Linked DNA regions of Astyanax mexicanus. Each later gene encodes a partner of the first gene's protein in a complex. Links are inferred from orthologs where the notes say so. Each region holds a gene or a part of one and is shown in the gene's direction. Other genes may lie near its edges. The genes, in order: trappc8 and trappc11.

What was found.
Region 2: trappc8 (region 1) and trappc11 share a complex: the UniProt entries of both Homo sapiens proteins name them as parts of the multisubunit TRAPP (transport protein particle) complex. The link is inferred for Astyanax mexicanus from reciprocal best matches to the Homo sapiens genes TRAPPC8 and TRAPPC11.

Annotation. Positions count from the first base shown.
Region 1 is NC_064408.1:65,441,863-65,450,806, forward strand, and holds the start of trappc8 (trafficking protein particle complex subunit 8), read left to right. Parts: upstream 1-5,489; 5' UTR 5,490-5,662; coding exon 5,663-5,819; intron 5,820-8,944. Other genes in the region: anapc4 (anaphase-promoting complex subunit 4), read right to left, coding at 1,305-1,379, 1,463-1,595, 1,689-1,794, 3,062-3,169. UniProt on the Homo sapiens protein: Plays a role in endoplasmic reticulum to Golgi apparatus trafficking at a very early stage. Maintains together with TBC1D14 the cycling pool of ATG9 required for initiation of autophagy. Involved in collagen secretion.
Region 2 is NC_064409.1:70,910,426-70,919,074, reverse strand, and holds the start of trappc11 (trafficking protein particle complex subunit 11), read left to right. Parts: upstream 1-5,221; 5' UTR 5,222-5,367; intron 5,368-7,324; 5' UTR 7,325-7,366; coding exon 7,367-7,570; intron 7,571-7,659; coding exon 7,660-7,829; intron 7,830-8,649. Other genes in the region: hars (histidine--tRNA ligase), read right to left, coding at 453-563. UniProt on the Homo sapiens protein: Involved in endoplasmic reticulum to Golgi apparatus trafficking at a very early stage.

The DNA of each region.
Region 1 (8,944 bases):
TTCAAATGTGCAGCTTTTTTTTCTTTTTAGATTTTATCGCATTATTTATTGTATTTAATCTCTGATTAATCTATTATTTTGTGCCAAACAACGCTGGGGTTTACAATTTCTAATTGCACACACACGCATACACAAACGCACTTGCATTTACCATGCCCAAAATGTTTCACTGCTGTTTTCTTGAAAATAGAAATTTGCTAAATATAGGAATAAAAAATTGCAACACATAGTGCAAACACTGTTGTTGAGATCACAGAGCAAATCACGGTGCAGAGTAGGGGTGTGCCACATCGTATTGTACGCAACAATTTTGTGTCGCCAACAATTTTGAACATCGTCAACTATATTATACCCTTAAATATCAGCCACCCCTAATTATCACATAAGGTTACTACTTTTTGCTTTTTTTTTTTCTAAAAAGGGGAATCCACACTGTTCTCATTTCCCATTATATATCTACTAGAGACAGATTATATGTGTCCAGTATCAATAATTTTACTTCAGTCCTGGATATATGGAGATATATGGAATGCATCATTAGTATCATGACATTCTGGATCATTGACTATTGTAACAAATCTGATAAAAAATATTGTATTTGTATTATCTCAGTTAGGGGTGTGCAGTATCATATCATATGCAATAATAACATTTAATTTTTCTTTTTTTTTAATTTAGTGTTTTGTCATCACCAAGAGTATCGTTATCGCAAAAATACCATGAAATATCATGATATTATTTTAGGGCTTTATCATCTAAACCTAGAGCAGAAACAAAACATGGGTTAATATTATAATATATGGATTTGTATTAAAATACAAAACTAACTTTGCCAGACAGGATTTTCTTTCTTTTTGACACATTTGACTATAGACTGAATAATTAGTTCTAGATTACAAACTTCACTTTGGCTCATCCAAATGGTATTTGCCATAACTCTATTAATGCAGAGGACACTTTTCCTCTGCTCTATTCTCCACTGCTGAAGGCCCTTTACCCCTCTGGCTGACATTCAGCATTGGACATGGTGACCTCAAACTAATAAGCAGCTACTTTACAGCAGCCCATAAGGGCAGGAAACAAAACAACAAAATACTGTAATTTGCATCTAGTGTGGCTGAGTTATTATACCTTTTTTATTATTTGTTTTATGGATGACCTGGAACCTGTTCTCCAATGCATGATCTTGAACACCCTTTATTTATTTATTTACATTTGTAGCAGTCAGTTTCCTGTGTCCATTCTATTCTAGTACACAATCTTTAACACATATCAGCAATGAATTACACCTTTGCTGAACTAACCTTTTGGGTAAAATTGGTAGCTTGGGCAGGAATCGGTTGGACTCGTCTTCAGAGTCAGTGAACGATGATGATACACTTTAAATAAAGAGAGAAAACGATTAAACAAACTTATAAAAACAATCCCAATCTTTCTTTTGTGTCATTTAAAAAAATAATACCTGCTGTCACTCTGCACTTCCATCCAGTGCATGCAAGACACGGGGTAGTCTACAGTAAACAGGTGGAGGATCTCTGCCTTCTCAGCATCACACAGGACCACCTGCTTTGTGTCCCCCAGACTAAATGCCAAGACTGCCAACAATAACATACAGGTTCATTATTTTGGGGTTAAGTCAATTCTCTGGCAGTAAGCATTCTCAAATATCATAGAAAGCTTTGGCTTACTTTTGCCATCAGGCCTCCAGGCCAAAGATGTGATCTCTTTTCCTGTATTTTCACTTGGGGGTAAATTCCACACACGCTGAAAGTTGGCAAGGCGATGCAGCAGGAGCTGAAATTAATTTTAAACCCCAAACGTTAACAAACTGGAGCTCAGATACAGACAGTATTTATTAAACGCTCAGCAATATATGTCTGTGTACTAAACTAAAGAAAATCCAAAAATGTTTCCTAGAGGCTTTGTTCATGTTCTCCAGCCTTTTTCACCGACATATTTGAAATGATTATTCTTTCCCATTTTATAAATGGTTGCCATGGTTCAATAGTTGAAAAAAACTTCATAGTGGTTTGATTTAAAATGGTGTTGTACAGTATCTGACAAGCACTACAGAGTTTTATACTGTACTGTGTAATGTACAAAAATATTTGGTAAAACATATATCTAAATGCAGCATAGGTCAAATGCAGAAAAAACAAGCTCTTTAATGACCATTTTAACACCTTATTGTGAGTAAGCTTTTAGGAAAATTTAGTTCGTTGGATGGCTGGTTCCTGTAATCACTACTGTGAGAAATCTATATTTCTCTGGTGTTAAATATTACATAGCAAAACACACTTAGTTCATATACATATAAATAGTTGACTTGTGTCTTTTCCACAAAACATTTAGCGTAAAATTCCCCTTTAATTTTTAGCAATAAATAAGGTATTAACATTAATAACATTTATAATTAATAATATGTTAAGTATCTATTGCAATTGTAACTTAATTCTATGAGTCTGTTCTGTCATTTTAATTAATTATTTTAATTTAAAAAGTGTAGTTTTGTTATAGATTTTTTTCCTATGTGTCTTGTAATTAAATGTGAAATCCAACGTTAAATGGACTTGGTGTGCAGTAAAACATACACTACAATGCACTCCAAAAATGAGTAAGAACTTGTGTCAATTAACAAACCTCTATTTACCCCCAACATTCCAAAATACAACGCTTCTACTTGATGGTCCCAACAGGCTTACAATGCTAGTGATAGGAGGATAGTGTTGCCCATGCAAAGATATTTTTACACCATTAACAAATTCAAAATAGCTCCACACTTTATTGGAAGAAATCTGAGAAGCTTTACATTTAAATGAGGCACTGAGAACTCTGTAAGCCTGTTGGAGCATTGGCTACAAGCTCTGTATTTCAGAGGGGGAACAGAGGTGGGTTATTCCACAAAGGTTCATACTTGTTGACATGTTTCACCAGAGGTCAAATCCATTTTAAACTTAAGTTTAATCGCTGATACACGAGTTGTTTTTAAAGGTAATGTAGTTCTATTTTGTGGAGAAACTATTGACCCTCACTGTGGAGAGTACAGAAACTTTTTCCTCACCTCACCAGCTGTGTTGACCAAAGCGATGAGGTCCCTTTTAGGAGACCAGGCCATGTACAGAACTGGGTTTGGCAGCTGCTTCTCCCCCACTTGTCGGAAAGCAGGCATTGTGAAGCCCTTTCGTTTCCAAACCTGAGGATGGAAAAAAAACAATGCTTAGATTAAAGGGACATCATTTACTGAATGAATCGTCAAACAAACATAAATAAATAACCAGTGTATGCAATTTCTCCAGGTTTGAGCAAAATAATTTCTTCAGAGATTGTCTAGTTTTGCACTGGAGCTACAAGAATGTGCTACATGTGGCTAAAACGAAGTGGAAATCTATACTGGCTTTGTAGCATGAGTACAAAAACAAGAAGCAATGTTCAAGCACCAAACATGTGACCAAATACACTTTGTAATAAAGGGCAATACTGAGTTTTTGATGAACCATTAGTTTATCTAAGCTTGACCAAACAGAATCATTAAACTGTTGTGGAAAATATATCTTTGTTATGATTTAGCTACTGGAGAATGCTAGACCTATCTGTCAAATGTATCCAATGTTTTATAGTATTTACTATACGTTAGCAATTCATTAGTAAGTGACTGGAAACCGAGGCAATAGAATATGAGGTAAGAGAAGCTGTCTACAGTGTTACATTTTTTGGAGGTAAAAACGAGCTCTCTCCAAGTGACAGCCAATCAACGAGCTAGCTAGTCTGTGACAAAGAAGCTAGTTAAAACAACTAGAAATGTCTACTGATGTAAAGCAATATAGTTAACTAGCTACACCTCTCGCGAGCTGGTCAGCCAGGTTAACTGAACTGTGTAAAGAAAGTCTCAGTAAACAGTTAGTTAAATAAACACCTGTCCAACTAACTAGCATGTTAGCTAGCCTAGCTCAGTACCGCTGTAAACAGCACTTAAGACCTAGCTACCTAACTAACGTTGTAAATGTTACGATTACTCACTCGAACGCTCAATAAAGATCATTAACTGTAATCAGGGTGACTTGGACTTGAGCTCTATAATCCCCACACGCGCTGATTTTATCAGAAAAAGCTGAACACTTATTATTAATCCAGTGAAATAAATAAATAACACGCAGTGTGCGGGCTGAGCAGCCCGGCTTCTCTACTACCCGCCGCTAAAAACATAACTACGGAAAGCCCAACGAGACAAGCAGAACGACGAAAAGCAATTTGCCACACAAGCAACGAAAAATAACCATAAATAATGCCCAACGTATAAAACATATTTGAATTCATATAATGTATGCTAACCCCTTGTTTTAATTTTAATTTTTTCATTACTTATATATTATTAATTTGAATTCAATTTATTTCAAAGCTACAAACTATTTAATTGTTCATTTCGTTTACGGACTGTTATAAGATGTTCATAAAAAAAAAAAATCTCTCTTTATAAAAGGTATGAAGAAATATTTCATACCTAATGATTATTGCATGAGATCCTTTATTTTGAGAGCAGAGCAAAGAAGGTTGATTTTCTGGTTGCATTACATCTTTTAAGATTAAGGATGGAAAAACAATCTTAAAACAAGTTTTTGTTTCACATCGCCTCATAGGCATCAGTTAGTAATTCAATTATTTTATAAAATGTTAACTTTAAATAATTAAAGTTTTTGAGTGGTTGGCTGAGCTCTTCTACATCCACAATGCTTTTATGTAAAATGTGCTTACCACAAATAAAAAAAAATAATGTTAGTAATTATTATTTTAATGTGTTTTTACATAGCTAGACTACAGTACCGGATAAAAGAATACAATACAAACAATATATATAACATTATATAGCTTTTCTCACATTTTTGTAGACTGTTACTAAACTTTAATACAAATAATACATTTAAAACCAGACAGTTGAAACAATGTTGAAATAAACGTAAAATCAATATGCACAAATATATCAAATCTGACGTCAGAGATCAACATTATTTTAATACATTAATGACGTAAAAATTATGTTTATATATAAATGTTGCTATCTTTCATTAACCAGATTAGTTACCATTAGTAAAAATCGTAACATTTTACCTGATTAAACTGTGCATATTTTAGTAGTAATATAATATATTATATTATAAGTTGTACATTATTACAAAATGCTTTAACCTGTTGAACAATTACTTGCTCAAGGGCGTCCTCTAGTGTTCTTTCTGTTTCAGCTTTCGTGTGTGCAAAAACGTGTTTTTATTAATAATAAGCCTTAAATTGCTGCGTTTTGGTAGCTTTTACGCCACAATATATGGATTAATATTTCACAACTGGTTTCGCAGTTATTTAATCTATTTTTATTACCCTTGCTTTCTTCTGTTTTACCTCTTTTCACCCTCCTCTACAGACCGCATTAAGACTTTTATTTTGAAGGGACGTGTTTAGGCTGCCTGTCTGGTATCACCTGACAGGCGTGGTGCTCGACGGGAGTTAAATCGGTCAGCAGGGGGGACTGTAGAGTCCATCATGGCTGCTGCGGGCTGTCAGTAGAGGGACTTGTTTTTAACTCTGTAGCGGCTCCTCTGTTCTCGGTGACACTCCCGCGCCCGGCTCGTCTGCTCCCCCGGTTCTCGCTCGGACTGCCCGCTGGACCGGCGCCATGGCCCAGTGCGCCCAGTCTGTGCAGGAGTTCATCCAGGACTCGTTCGTGCCGATGGTGGCCGTCCTGTGCAGCGAGGAGGCGGAGAGAGTGACCCGCAGGAACAGCCTGAGCTTCCCCGAGCTGCTGCGCCCCTTCTGCCGGCTTCCCTCGGAGGGTAAGGAGCTTGGGGTTAACTGGTGGAGGTCGGGCGGGGGTGTCAGGGGCTGTTGAGCAGCGGTAAACACTGGGACGCTCCGCGGGCTTTAACTCGGAGTTAGTTAGTTAGCAAGGCTAGTTAGGTTAGCTAGCAGGCTGCTAACTAGCTCCCCCGGTCGGCCAGCTGACAGGAGGAGCAGTTCAGGGCCCGGTCTGTGTGTCTGTTCCGCTCAGTCTACCGGTTACCTGAGCGATTGGGTTACCCGGATCAAATGACACATTTCCCTTTAATGACTCCGGCTGGACTGTTTGGGTTTCGACTGTAATAAAGGCCTCAGGCCGACAGGAGCTCCAGCAGCAGCAGCGGGCTGAACACCCCGGCTCTGTTTTCGGCTGTTAGCCGCTAAGCTAAGCGCCCGGCTACACCCTCCTTAACTAGCTCATAAACACAGGCTAATCCTCGAGGAGCAGAGTTCACTCCTCTAACAGTAACGAGGAGCGGGATTATGAACAGTTTAGCAGCCGCTGGATTGATTAAATATTGCTGTGTTTGTGCGTCATGGACAAATTTCAAACGAAGCTTCTGTGTTTCTTTTACTTTTGAAATCTCTAGACGAGGTTTCTTCAGTTCCCTTTCTTCACCAACACACACATTTCTGAAACCCGGTCCTGGGGGCACACTGCTCTGCAGTTTATAGTGTTTCCCTGCTAGTAACACACCTTATTCAATTTGTCACAGCTGATTAACACGCCCGTTATTGAGTAATGTGGGTGTATTAAGGCAGGTAAAGGACCAAAATGTGCAGGGCAGTTGGCCTCCATAAAAAAAACACAATAAAAAATTCTGAATTAAGCTCTCTAACTAATACTACAAATAATTTAAAAAAATTGTAGTAGATGTGTTTGAGAAGAAATTGTCCACGCTGTCATAACAAGAAATGTGATCTCAGTTTTTTGTTTTTTTTTCCCATGATCTTGCAAAGCCCAGAGAAGGAAATGGAAGAATATTTGGACAGTACATCCTGCCACCTCGCATGCACAATACTGTATTAAGGGTCACTGGCTATGTTTTACATGCAAAGATTATCTCCAAACCAATGAAATCAATTCAGATTAGAGTACCACTTTTAGGAATTTTGTCAAACTCGTAAGTCTATGTCTTTCGCACCTGAGTTTTGTCTAATTTCAGAGCCAAATCTCTTCTAAGGAGAATGGCCGCATACTTAAATCCATGTTATGCTGTGTTGTTTCTAGACTACCAGAGCAACAAAGGTTCTTACATGTGACAGTTGGCTCACATGTTGTTTTGGTAGCAAAAAGCTCCATCAGTGCACCTCTTGTGCTCTGTATAGTTCTGCCCTTTAGCCTGGCAGTAGCTTTTTTTATGTCCATGCTGATGCTTCACAGTATCTTGTTAGACCCTCTTTCTAAATCTAAAAGAGAACTGTGTTCATTAGATGCTGAAAAAAAAAAAATAGACGTGTGTTTTGAGATTCTTTGAAACTGTACTTAAGCACTTCTAAGAAAACTCAATCTGTTTGGGTCCGCAGAGGGTGTGTTCTCCAAGAACATCCCTGTGTGTCGTCTGCTGATGTAATTTGATTTATTTAGGAATGTTTTGGAACAGTTGACAACAGAGAAAGGCCATTTTTTTGTTTGGCAGCTGTAACATGCACAGATGCACATAGATATATAGAAGGTGCAGTGTCAAATACTCCTGTGTGCTGTTTTAAGCCAGGCGGACACTGCGATTTTAGCCTGATTTTAAGCCCGATCTGGTCGAATGCGACTGAATTTCATGATCGGGCCGAATTTTAGCTTGATCGTGCGTCGTTTGTCGTGCAGTGTGTGAGGGGAAGCGATGTCCGATTAATTGCCCATACGAGCTGCGAATGAGCAGTCGGACGCGACCAGGGATTTCTGACATGCCAGAAATTTTGGTCGCTTGTCTCACAGTGTGAGCTATTTTGCGGGCCGATTTCTTAACGTCACGACCTGTTTTCCCAAAAATCTGCACAGTAACTATAAATTATTATTAGTCATATTTATTTCTGTCAGTTATAAGGATTTATATTTATGTTCGGTACACAGACTTATAGCTTAATGTAGCAGACACAGGCATTCTGCTGTTTAATAATTTCAACAGATGCTTATTCTCAGTCAATAGCTGGAGTTTTTGAAAAGATAAATTAAAAGAGAAAATAACTTTGACAAACATAAATTTATTTTATTTCACTTTGCTATTATATCTGAAAAATAAAGCACATTGTCAGCGTCTGGTGCTGCCCGTCAATTATATAAAACTTAAAACATGCACAGAAATATATAAAGCTATATTTTATAATTCGTTCCTTTTCGCCAGGGCAAATTTATTAAAATTATAAATATATTAATTTATTAATTAAAATCTCGTCCAGTGCTTCAGAATATTAGCCATGCAAAGCCAGCTTAGCGCAGCGCATGGCATTGCGCGCGTCATTGCGCGCAGAATAACCTCTGTCTTCTAAAATAAACGTTTTAATAAATAAGGTCGGAGAAGTGTAGTAAAATTAATGCTATTAAACTTACTAAAGCTAATAAATGTACTGATAATTAATCAAGATAAATCGGACAAAATGCGCTGCGCCGCTCTCTCGCTCTCTTTCGCAGCGCGGAGCTGAATTCAGAGCGAGGCTACAGATAATATAAAACTCAGTTCAGTTGAATAAAAATAAGTAAGGGCCTGTAAGTACAAGCAAAGGACCTGTAAGTAAATATTGTCAAATATAAAGAATAGTTTGAGGTTTTGGTGAGCTGTTTTCATGATTTGAAACTGAAACTAACTGAAACTTTGATTATTCTGCAGAAAGCCTGGGTTATTTTAAACGAATTTTTAATGAGTTTATATTTAATATTTTTTATTCATTTTAATTATTTTTCTTCTTTTATTAATCAAATCATTAAATATATATCTTCATAAGATATATTTTTTACCTTATGTCAATTTTTGTGATCTTTTTAAAAGGTCCTATTTTTCCTTTTTTACGTATATATTTTATTCGTCTATAATAAATGTCAGTTTTTATTTCTATTTTTTATATATTTTTTTAATCCCTTTTAAACTGTTAATGCTCAGCGGCACTATAAATGAGGGTCCCTATCCAG
Region 2 (8,649 bases), on another chromosome or scaffold:
TTACTCTTCAGATTGTTTTGTCCACAGGGATGAACGCCATTACCAGGCCGAGGAAGAGAATCTTACAACAGGGAAGACAAACTCAGGTCAGATCGGCTGGAGGCAGCGCTAGCTTCTTTTATGAAGAGTATTTTCTTTGAATTTAATAAAGTTTTCTCTCTTTTTTTTGAAGCATGGTATGGTTTTGTTTTATGTAACTAAAATGTCAGTATATATGTTTATACAGTGTGGCTGAAAATGTATTTGATGGAGCACCTTTATTCCAGAGTCTGCTCCACTGCTCAATGCTTTGACCTTTATATCTATAGACAAGCTGTGTTTATGTGCATAACTATAACTACTATAACTTTAACTACTATGTGCATAACTACTCCAAATCTATATCCAGATCCATTTATCAGTACACAGTACAGGCTGTGTGAGTGTGCACAGTAAAAACAGCTCTTTCTTACCTGAGACACAGTCATTCCAGAGAGGTAGCGCAGAGAGCGGAGGCACGGTACAGCATGTCGTCCAGTCAGTCCAGCACAGAGACGCACACATGCCAGCCCCAGAGAAGCCATGTTTCAGTCCACAAACACACAGCACACAGTTCAGGAACACAGCAGCACAGTCCACATATCAGGAGGCCCCAAAAAGTCAGTGCACACAGCAGAGGCCCAATTCCAATCCCAGTCCAGGGGAATGAGCCGGCAGTCCAACAGCAAAATCACAGCAGCAGTTCCAACATCAATTCAGCGGAAGATGATGAAGACGATGAAGGTGATGAAGATGATGAGCCCAGGTATGGAGGCAGTATCCGCAGCAACAAGCAGGAAGAACAGGAGAAAAGTGGTGAGCAACCCTATCACTAGGGGGCCGCGGCCCACAAGCGAGGCATGAAGCAATGAAGGGAGCAAAACATGAGAGCATGGAGTCAAAATCAACTGGACACTAAAGCTTCTGCTCTGACATTATTATCAGAATAACCACACACTCACATACACACACACACACACACACACACACACACACCTCCTCTCAAATCACTTTAACTTAAAGAAAGACACTTTAAATGAAAATGGCCCAAATGTGAAGCAGAACAAGTGCAAAGACAAAGATAAAAACATGATCTATAAAAAAAATCTCCAAAACTGCAACTTTCCATAAGATAAAAAAAAAACTTCTTCGATGTCAATATATTTAATTCTAGGTAAAGCTGGACAATATATTGATATTTTATTGTATTGAACAGACAAAATGCATATTGATTATATCACTTGTACTTAAAGAACATTGATCCTGACACTGAGTGTGTAAATTCCCGTTAAATTAGATGATGTCCAGCAAAAATTAAATAAGAATCCAATGAACTGTGTACTACGAAAAGCATTTGAATAACAGAACATAAGTATCTGCCATGGCAGATGAAAATATGATTAATACGGTGTATAGTGAAAATGTCTTTAAATATTGTGATACAATTTTTTTTAACATATCATCCAGCTCTATCAGTTTGTGATTACTTACACAAAGGGCTGTGGCTTTCAAACTGTTCATATCGATATCAGAATTGTATCATGCCAAACAAAAATAAGAACTATATTTTAAGTGTTGAGTTTATTGCCATTGTAGGCAAAGAATGTTGCTGTGTATGTGTCAGTGTTTTAGTTGAAGGCTTTTTACTATGCCCCAATCACTGTTTGTTACAATGTCTTATTGTGTGTTTCTTTTTTTTCATGTTGGTACTCGTATGTGTTTTTGTAAGTGTATCACAACCTGTGCTTATGTATAATACATAATGTATTTGGGGTTTATTTGGAAAAATAAATAAAAATGTTTCTAAAACACTTTCTGTATAAAAAATAATTATGCATCTTGCTATTTAGCTTCAGTATAGTCTTCAATATTACATTTACAACATTAAGATAATAAACATAAAGAAAACAGAAACAGAGAAAATGTGTGTCCATTTTTTGACTGGTTGCTAGTAAATAAGTGTTTAAATAATACTTAACTCAAGACAATATGTGCTTTGTTTGTCTACTATGATTTGATGACAGTTCTGGCTCTGATATTGCGTCAGCTTGACCCAGTAAACCATCAATATTTTAACTGTACATAAATAAAGTCTTAAACTACATTACAATAACAAAACATGTGCTAGCTTTGCTTTTGTACACGTGTAGCAACGAAGCTTAACCTGATGCCTTATTGTTTTTACAATAGTTCCGTTCCACCTTAAAATTTACAGCGGTAACATGCGGCACCTGCGACACAATAAGAACGGAAACCTAGGCGGCAACTGTAGCATTTAAGGTGGAACGGACAATTCAAAAAGGCGATTCAAATCTGAAAAATTAACATTAGAAGGCTATTATAAACAGTAAAACAGCCTCTTTAAATGTGAAAACTGAGGCTGCACTGATGATATCTGCTGTCAGCTAAAGAACATGTACAAAAATGCTGATTAATGATACAGAAGGCCACAGAGACCGGCACCAGGTTAGCTTAGCATTAACTAGCACATGTAGAAACACAGGTAAACGAGGCCCGTATTCAGCTCTAATAACAGCAGTATTTAAGCAGCGGCGGCTCGCTCACACTGACCTGATCTTTACTCGCTTTATCGCTCTTCAGTTTCCTCACCACCTCCCCCTGAACTTTAATGGCTTCTTGAATCTGCGCTTTATCCGCCATGGTGCTGCTCTCTCAGCTCCCCGCAGGACCGGTCCCTCACAAAAAACGTCACACACGCACAAACCACGTGTACCCACTAACATAATACTCATGTATAATACTAGTGCATCTAAAAAAAAATAGAATATCATTGAAAAGTTCATTTACTTCAGTAATTCAGTTTAAAATGAGAAACCTATATTGTATATAGATGTCCTACACACAGAGTGATCTATTTAAAGACTTTATTTATTTTATTATTGACGATTATGGCTGACAGCCAATAAAAACACAAAAATCAGTGTCTCAGGAAATTAGAATATTATATAAGATCAATTGGTATTTCTGCAGTGTGGGCAGTGTGCCAAGTCCTGCTGGAAAATGAAATCCGCATCTCCATAAAAGTTGTCAGCAGAGGGAAGCATGAAGTGCAGGAAGATTTTGTGGGAAAACAAAACTGCACTGACTTTGGACTTGATAATAAAACACAGTGGATCAACACCAGCAGATGACATGTCTCTCCAAACCATCACTGATCATCAGTAAATTTTGCACTTCATTTGGAAATCAAGGGAGCAGAGTCTGGAGAAAGAGTGGAGAGACACACAGTTCAAACTGCTTGAGGTCTGGTGTGAAGTTTCCACCAATCAGTGATGGTTGGGAGAGACATGTCATCTGCTGGTGTTTTTTATGTTAAAAATACTATGTTAAAAAAAAAATATATATATTTCTCAATCAAAAAAGGTGGAAGCCTTGTGTGTTTTGTATTTTATTTTATTCTATTTTATGATGTTTTTTTCCATAAGTGATGATATATGTTCCACAGTCATGTAAGGTGTTTATAACGTTTTTTAAATATATAAAACATCAATTTTATAAAGTTGTATTCCTTTTACACAATAAGGGCAGAATTTGCCCTGTTTATCCATCAGAGGGCAGCAATTGCCCCCGTTTGTCCACAATAAGATAGTAATTGCCCTGTTTGCCCAGTAGAGTGCAGTAATTTGGTATTGGCTCTTTCTGCAGCACAAAGCCGCAGATGAAGCGGAGCCAGAGACTCTCTATAGAGAGTAGATTACCCGCTTAATAATGTCTGCTGAGTTTGTTTAAATGAATAAATGCAGTTTAATGCAATTTTTTTCAATTGAGCGAAATCAGAGTTTATTAATGTTTAAAAAATGTATAGTGAAAAATTTGAGTAATTTACAGAGCCCATAAGGTGACATCATGTAAAAAATATATATGATGTGTGGCCATGATTTATTAAAGTGCAGGAATGTGATCCTAACGCATGGAAATGAGATAAGTAAGGCGAGTAAATAAGATAATTAAGTTGTGACCACGACTTATTAAGGTGTGGGAATGAGATCTGAATGTGCGGCCATGACTTATTAGGGTGTGGGAATAAGATCCTAACATGTAGCTATGACTTATTCCCACACATTAATAGGGACGACTAATATAGGTATAACTAATTTCCATGCCTTAATAAGTCGTGGCCATACCTTAATTATCTCGTTGTCGCACCTCAGTTATCTCATTGTCACGCATTAATTATCTTGTTCCCAAGCCTTGATGGGTACGATTTAATTAACTCATTCCCACACCTTAATAAGTTGTTTCCACACATTAGGATCTCCTACACCTTAATTATCTCATTCCCATGCATTAGGATCTCGTTCCCATGCCTTAATTTTTTTGTACCCACACCTTAGGATCTCATTCCCACACCTTAATAAGTCGTGGCCATGCATTTTTTTAACATAATATCACCTTAGGGGCTCCATACTAATTTTCTTAAAACAGAACAATATTAGCTACATGTTTTATCACTGAGCTTTTAAACTCCAGCTATAAACCTTTTATCTCCAGCATCAGCTCACCAACCAGTCAATATACATACAGTAGCAGTAATGCTAGCACTTTTACTGCCTAAAACCCGTTTACTGAAGAAAACCTAAAATATATAAGCAGGATATCTTTGCTCTTTTAGTGAAATGCATCATTGTCATTTACATAATTAAAATAAAATTCTGGAGAAAAGGTTAGTAACTGTTTGAAATTAGAGTTTTAGCCGTTTAGCTTTATTCACCTCCATTCATTTTGGACTCTCTCGCGGGCTCCTCCTAGCGGTTGCAGTGTTTACTGCTATAACAGGGATATGGGGAAGTGGTAGTCTGTCTAGAAACGCCGGTGCTCTGTCATATTGTTCTACCCATCGATATGTGCTACTTACATGCACTGCGCATGCGCTGATACACATTTTCACAGGCTTTTTTTTTTTTACATATAATAATGATTTTCCTTTTTGTCTTTTTCCTTTTCTTTGCTACAATATAATTACAGTCTAAGCTCATAATGTTGTTTAGTTGCGTGATTAAAAATGGTTAATTTGAATTTTTAAATGAAAATACTTATTATTACTGTTATTTTTTTTAGCTATATTATCCACCTAATACAGTGATTTAGCAGGGCTTATATTTAGCTTAAAACGCTCTATTTACTGTTTTATTTCAGCAGCTTTAACTGGATCCACATTGTGGTAGCACGATTCGACGAGGTAGCACATCGCGACACAACACCGGTGGCTGTGGCGGAGGGTCATGGGGTGTGGGCCCGGCTGCTCTGGGAGATAAACACGGATATTAATCAGGGTTTAATGTAAATGAAGTGGATGTAGACGGATTTAACAGACTGCAGCAGTAAAAGGTAACCTGATTAATTATCTCGTCACTGCCTCTAGCTCAGGCTGGTGTGACTCTGCCTCTGTTAGCTACCTCTGTTGATTAGTCTGTGCTGACACTGCTCTAGTTTCTGCAGTTTAACAGGGTTTAAACCTCTCTGTAGTGTTTATCAGTCTTCAGCAGGCTCTGTTTAATAATTCTGCTAAGTTAAAAGCCATAGTGTTAATATTATTAGCTGTATATACGCTGTTTGTGTATCAGGGTGAGCTCAGCTGACAGGAGGCTGGTTAGCTTGCTAAGCTAGCTCGGTGCACTCAGGCTAGGGCCCTCTTACTGTTTACTGTAGCTAAACTCTCTGAAATTTGAGATAATAAAGAAGACCCTGCAGAAAATCACCTCTTATTGTCTCTTTGGCTGCTTAAAATCCACGCAAGTCATTTATTATTGTTTTGTTAGAGTTTTATTGTACATGTTGTGAGTTAGCTAGTTAGTTAGTTAGCTAGCTTAGCTACTGAGTGGCTAGCTAAGCTCTTTTAGCTCTTTCAATCAATTAATCAATCTATATTTTATTTTAAAAGTGCATTTTAGTGTAGCCGAGTATTTGTGAAAAACAGGGATTGACATGACAAAAAATAGTAACTACATCTAATCACTTATTAGTGGAGTTCTTAAAACTACCCAGCTGTTGAGTCCCAATCCCTTTAGTTCCTTTTGCAGTGAGTGTGGAAATGCTCTTACTTTCACTATTAAACATATCCTGAGTTCTAGTTTTATTTTTCTACAATTTGATTTCACCAAACATTTATTTTCATTCAGAACGTTTTTCCTACAGCATTTCTTCCTAGAAGATGATGTTTCCCCACTGTCCTTCCACATTTTATTAATGCATTGGACAGATATTAACCAGATTTTAGTAGTGTCAGCAATCTCCTTATACTGTCCATACACTGCACAACTTTAAAAAGACTCTGAAAAGACTGTAACAGACTAAAGTCTTGACACCCTCTTACATCTAAAGACTAGTCATAGTATTTTACTCACTTGCTAAAACTTTGCTAAGACTGGGGATCACTAACTGCAAGACCGCAACTAATAGATTCTTTCTGAGATTATTTTCCATCATGCTTATGGTGGAGTTTACATACAATACATATTTTATATCATCAGTTTATTTTTCTGTCGCAATGTTAATTCTTGATATTTTTTAATAGAATACATTTTGTTTTTCACTCGTTCTATAAGCTTTTTTTTATTATTATCCCCCCCTTTTTTTTTGCTACAACCTTGTATAGCAAAGAATCACAGTTTCATTGCTATACATTTGCCTTTCTTTTAGATAGAAGTAATGCAATAAAAAACACCAGTCTTGCAGAATGTGTATTTATTGAACGTGTTTGTATCAAAAATTGTACTGCACAATAGATCAAAGTAGTGCAAAATATAATAACTTTCAATATGATGACATTAAAGTGCTACCTGTGCTTAAAAAACTGTACATATTAACTTCAACCCGTAAAATATTCTTGCATTGCGGCTTCCCATGGCTCTCCTATTGGTTGTTGACATTGTTCGAGTCATTATTTGCGTAAGCAAAGTCTCAAAACTTACTGTAATAATGAACAGGGTTGATTTTATTAGAGCTTCAGGACGCGAATCTGACTTACTAAAACTTTTAGTCCTAACCACCTAACACTGAAAGATTGAGATGACGCTAATGCAACTCGACTCTAGCAAGACTCGTGATTTTATCCTGACTCTTAATATTTGGAAATCTTCGACAGTAAAATCGCTTGAAAATCGTTAGGTGTAAGGTCGGCATTATATGTTTTCTCTGCTTGAGGCATGCCAATAATTTGACCCTTCTGAAACAGATTAACATCTTTTCCATGACGTTTATTCAGTAGCAGCATCATAAGTAAAATAATTATTAGTTAATAATTATAAATAAATATTCTGTCATTAATTCTTTATTGCATTATTAGTTTTTTTTTAGTTCCCCTCTTGAACGGCCAGTTCTTGGTAAGATGAGTCCGACGCAGTGGGATCTCCCCCCAGAGCTGTGCTGCAGGCCAATGGCCTTCGTGGCTCTGACCGGTCTGGATGTGGTGTATAACGCAGTGCACAGAGCCATATGGGACGCTTTCTGTGCAAACAGGAGGGCAGACAGGGTGCCCATTTCCTTTAAAGTCCTGCCAGGTGACCACGAGTACCCGAAGTGTAGAACTAAGGTAAGAGTGGATACTTATTCCACCGTGTGCTTATTTTTTAAGTTCATCTATCTTTTGCTTTCATGACAGTGCTGTTCATGTTCTTCCAGAGGACCTCCTACGAGTGGTACATTCCTAAAGGCATCCTGAAGACAGGCTGGATGAATAAACACCTGAACCTGGTGCCTTCTCTGGTGGTGCTGTTCTATGAGCTTGACTGGGACGATGCTCAGTGGAAGGAGAAGCAGTCGGAGTGTGCCACTAAAGTGGAAATTGTCAGGTAGATATTAATCTTATTTGATTTTGTTTTTAGAAATCCAGCTTCATGCCAAACATGAAATACATTATGTATCACCTTAGCTCAGGAAAGGGCTTGTTAATTAGCTAATCAGCTGGATCAGGTGTGTGGGGGGAAACAGTAAACACTAAAATATTATATATACTTAATTAGATATGTGGCAGTTAATATGACCTAGTCAGGGCTAGTCAATATGAATAAAAAACTCATGTCTTGATATGGTTAAGAGGAATGGCAATATACTTAATACAATATGGGATGATAAAAAAAAAAACATTAAAAATGTTAATTTAGTAATTGTAACAACAAAAATAATCAGTTAATATCTAATTGTGTATTTAAGTAATATACATTGTTTATTATACCACGTTTAGATCCAACACTGCAATTTGATTGGCTGAAAGGTGTTCTGTTAGTGCCGTTATCAGCCGGTAATGTGCTGTAATCGAAATTCTCCATGTATTACTCCGCCACATACAGGTAACCTAGCAATGATGCAGCGCCTACAAGCCAAAGAGCGCTGCTACAAACAGAGCAGCAATGGAACCATTTTATCTCACTTAATTTTTTTTAACCAAATTTGTATTAGTACAATCTTGGTTTTATAAATGTATAAAACCAAGATTGTATTTTCTCGTCCTCTTTAACTCAAACTTTAACTTTCAATAAACAGTGATAATGGAACTGTGACATATAGGGTTGCAACGGTATGAGATTTTCACGGTATGATAACCGTCTCAGAAAATACCGCGGTATCACGGTTATCACGGTATCACAGTTTGTTACATATATTATTAAACTG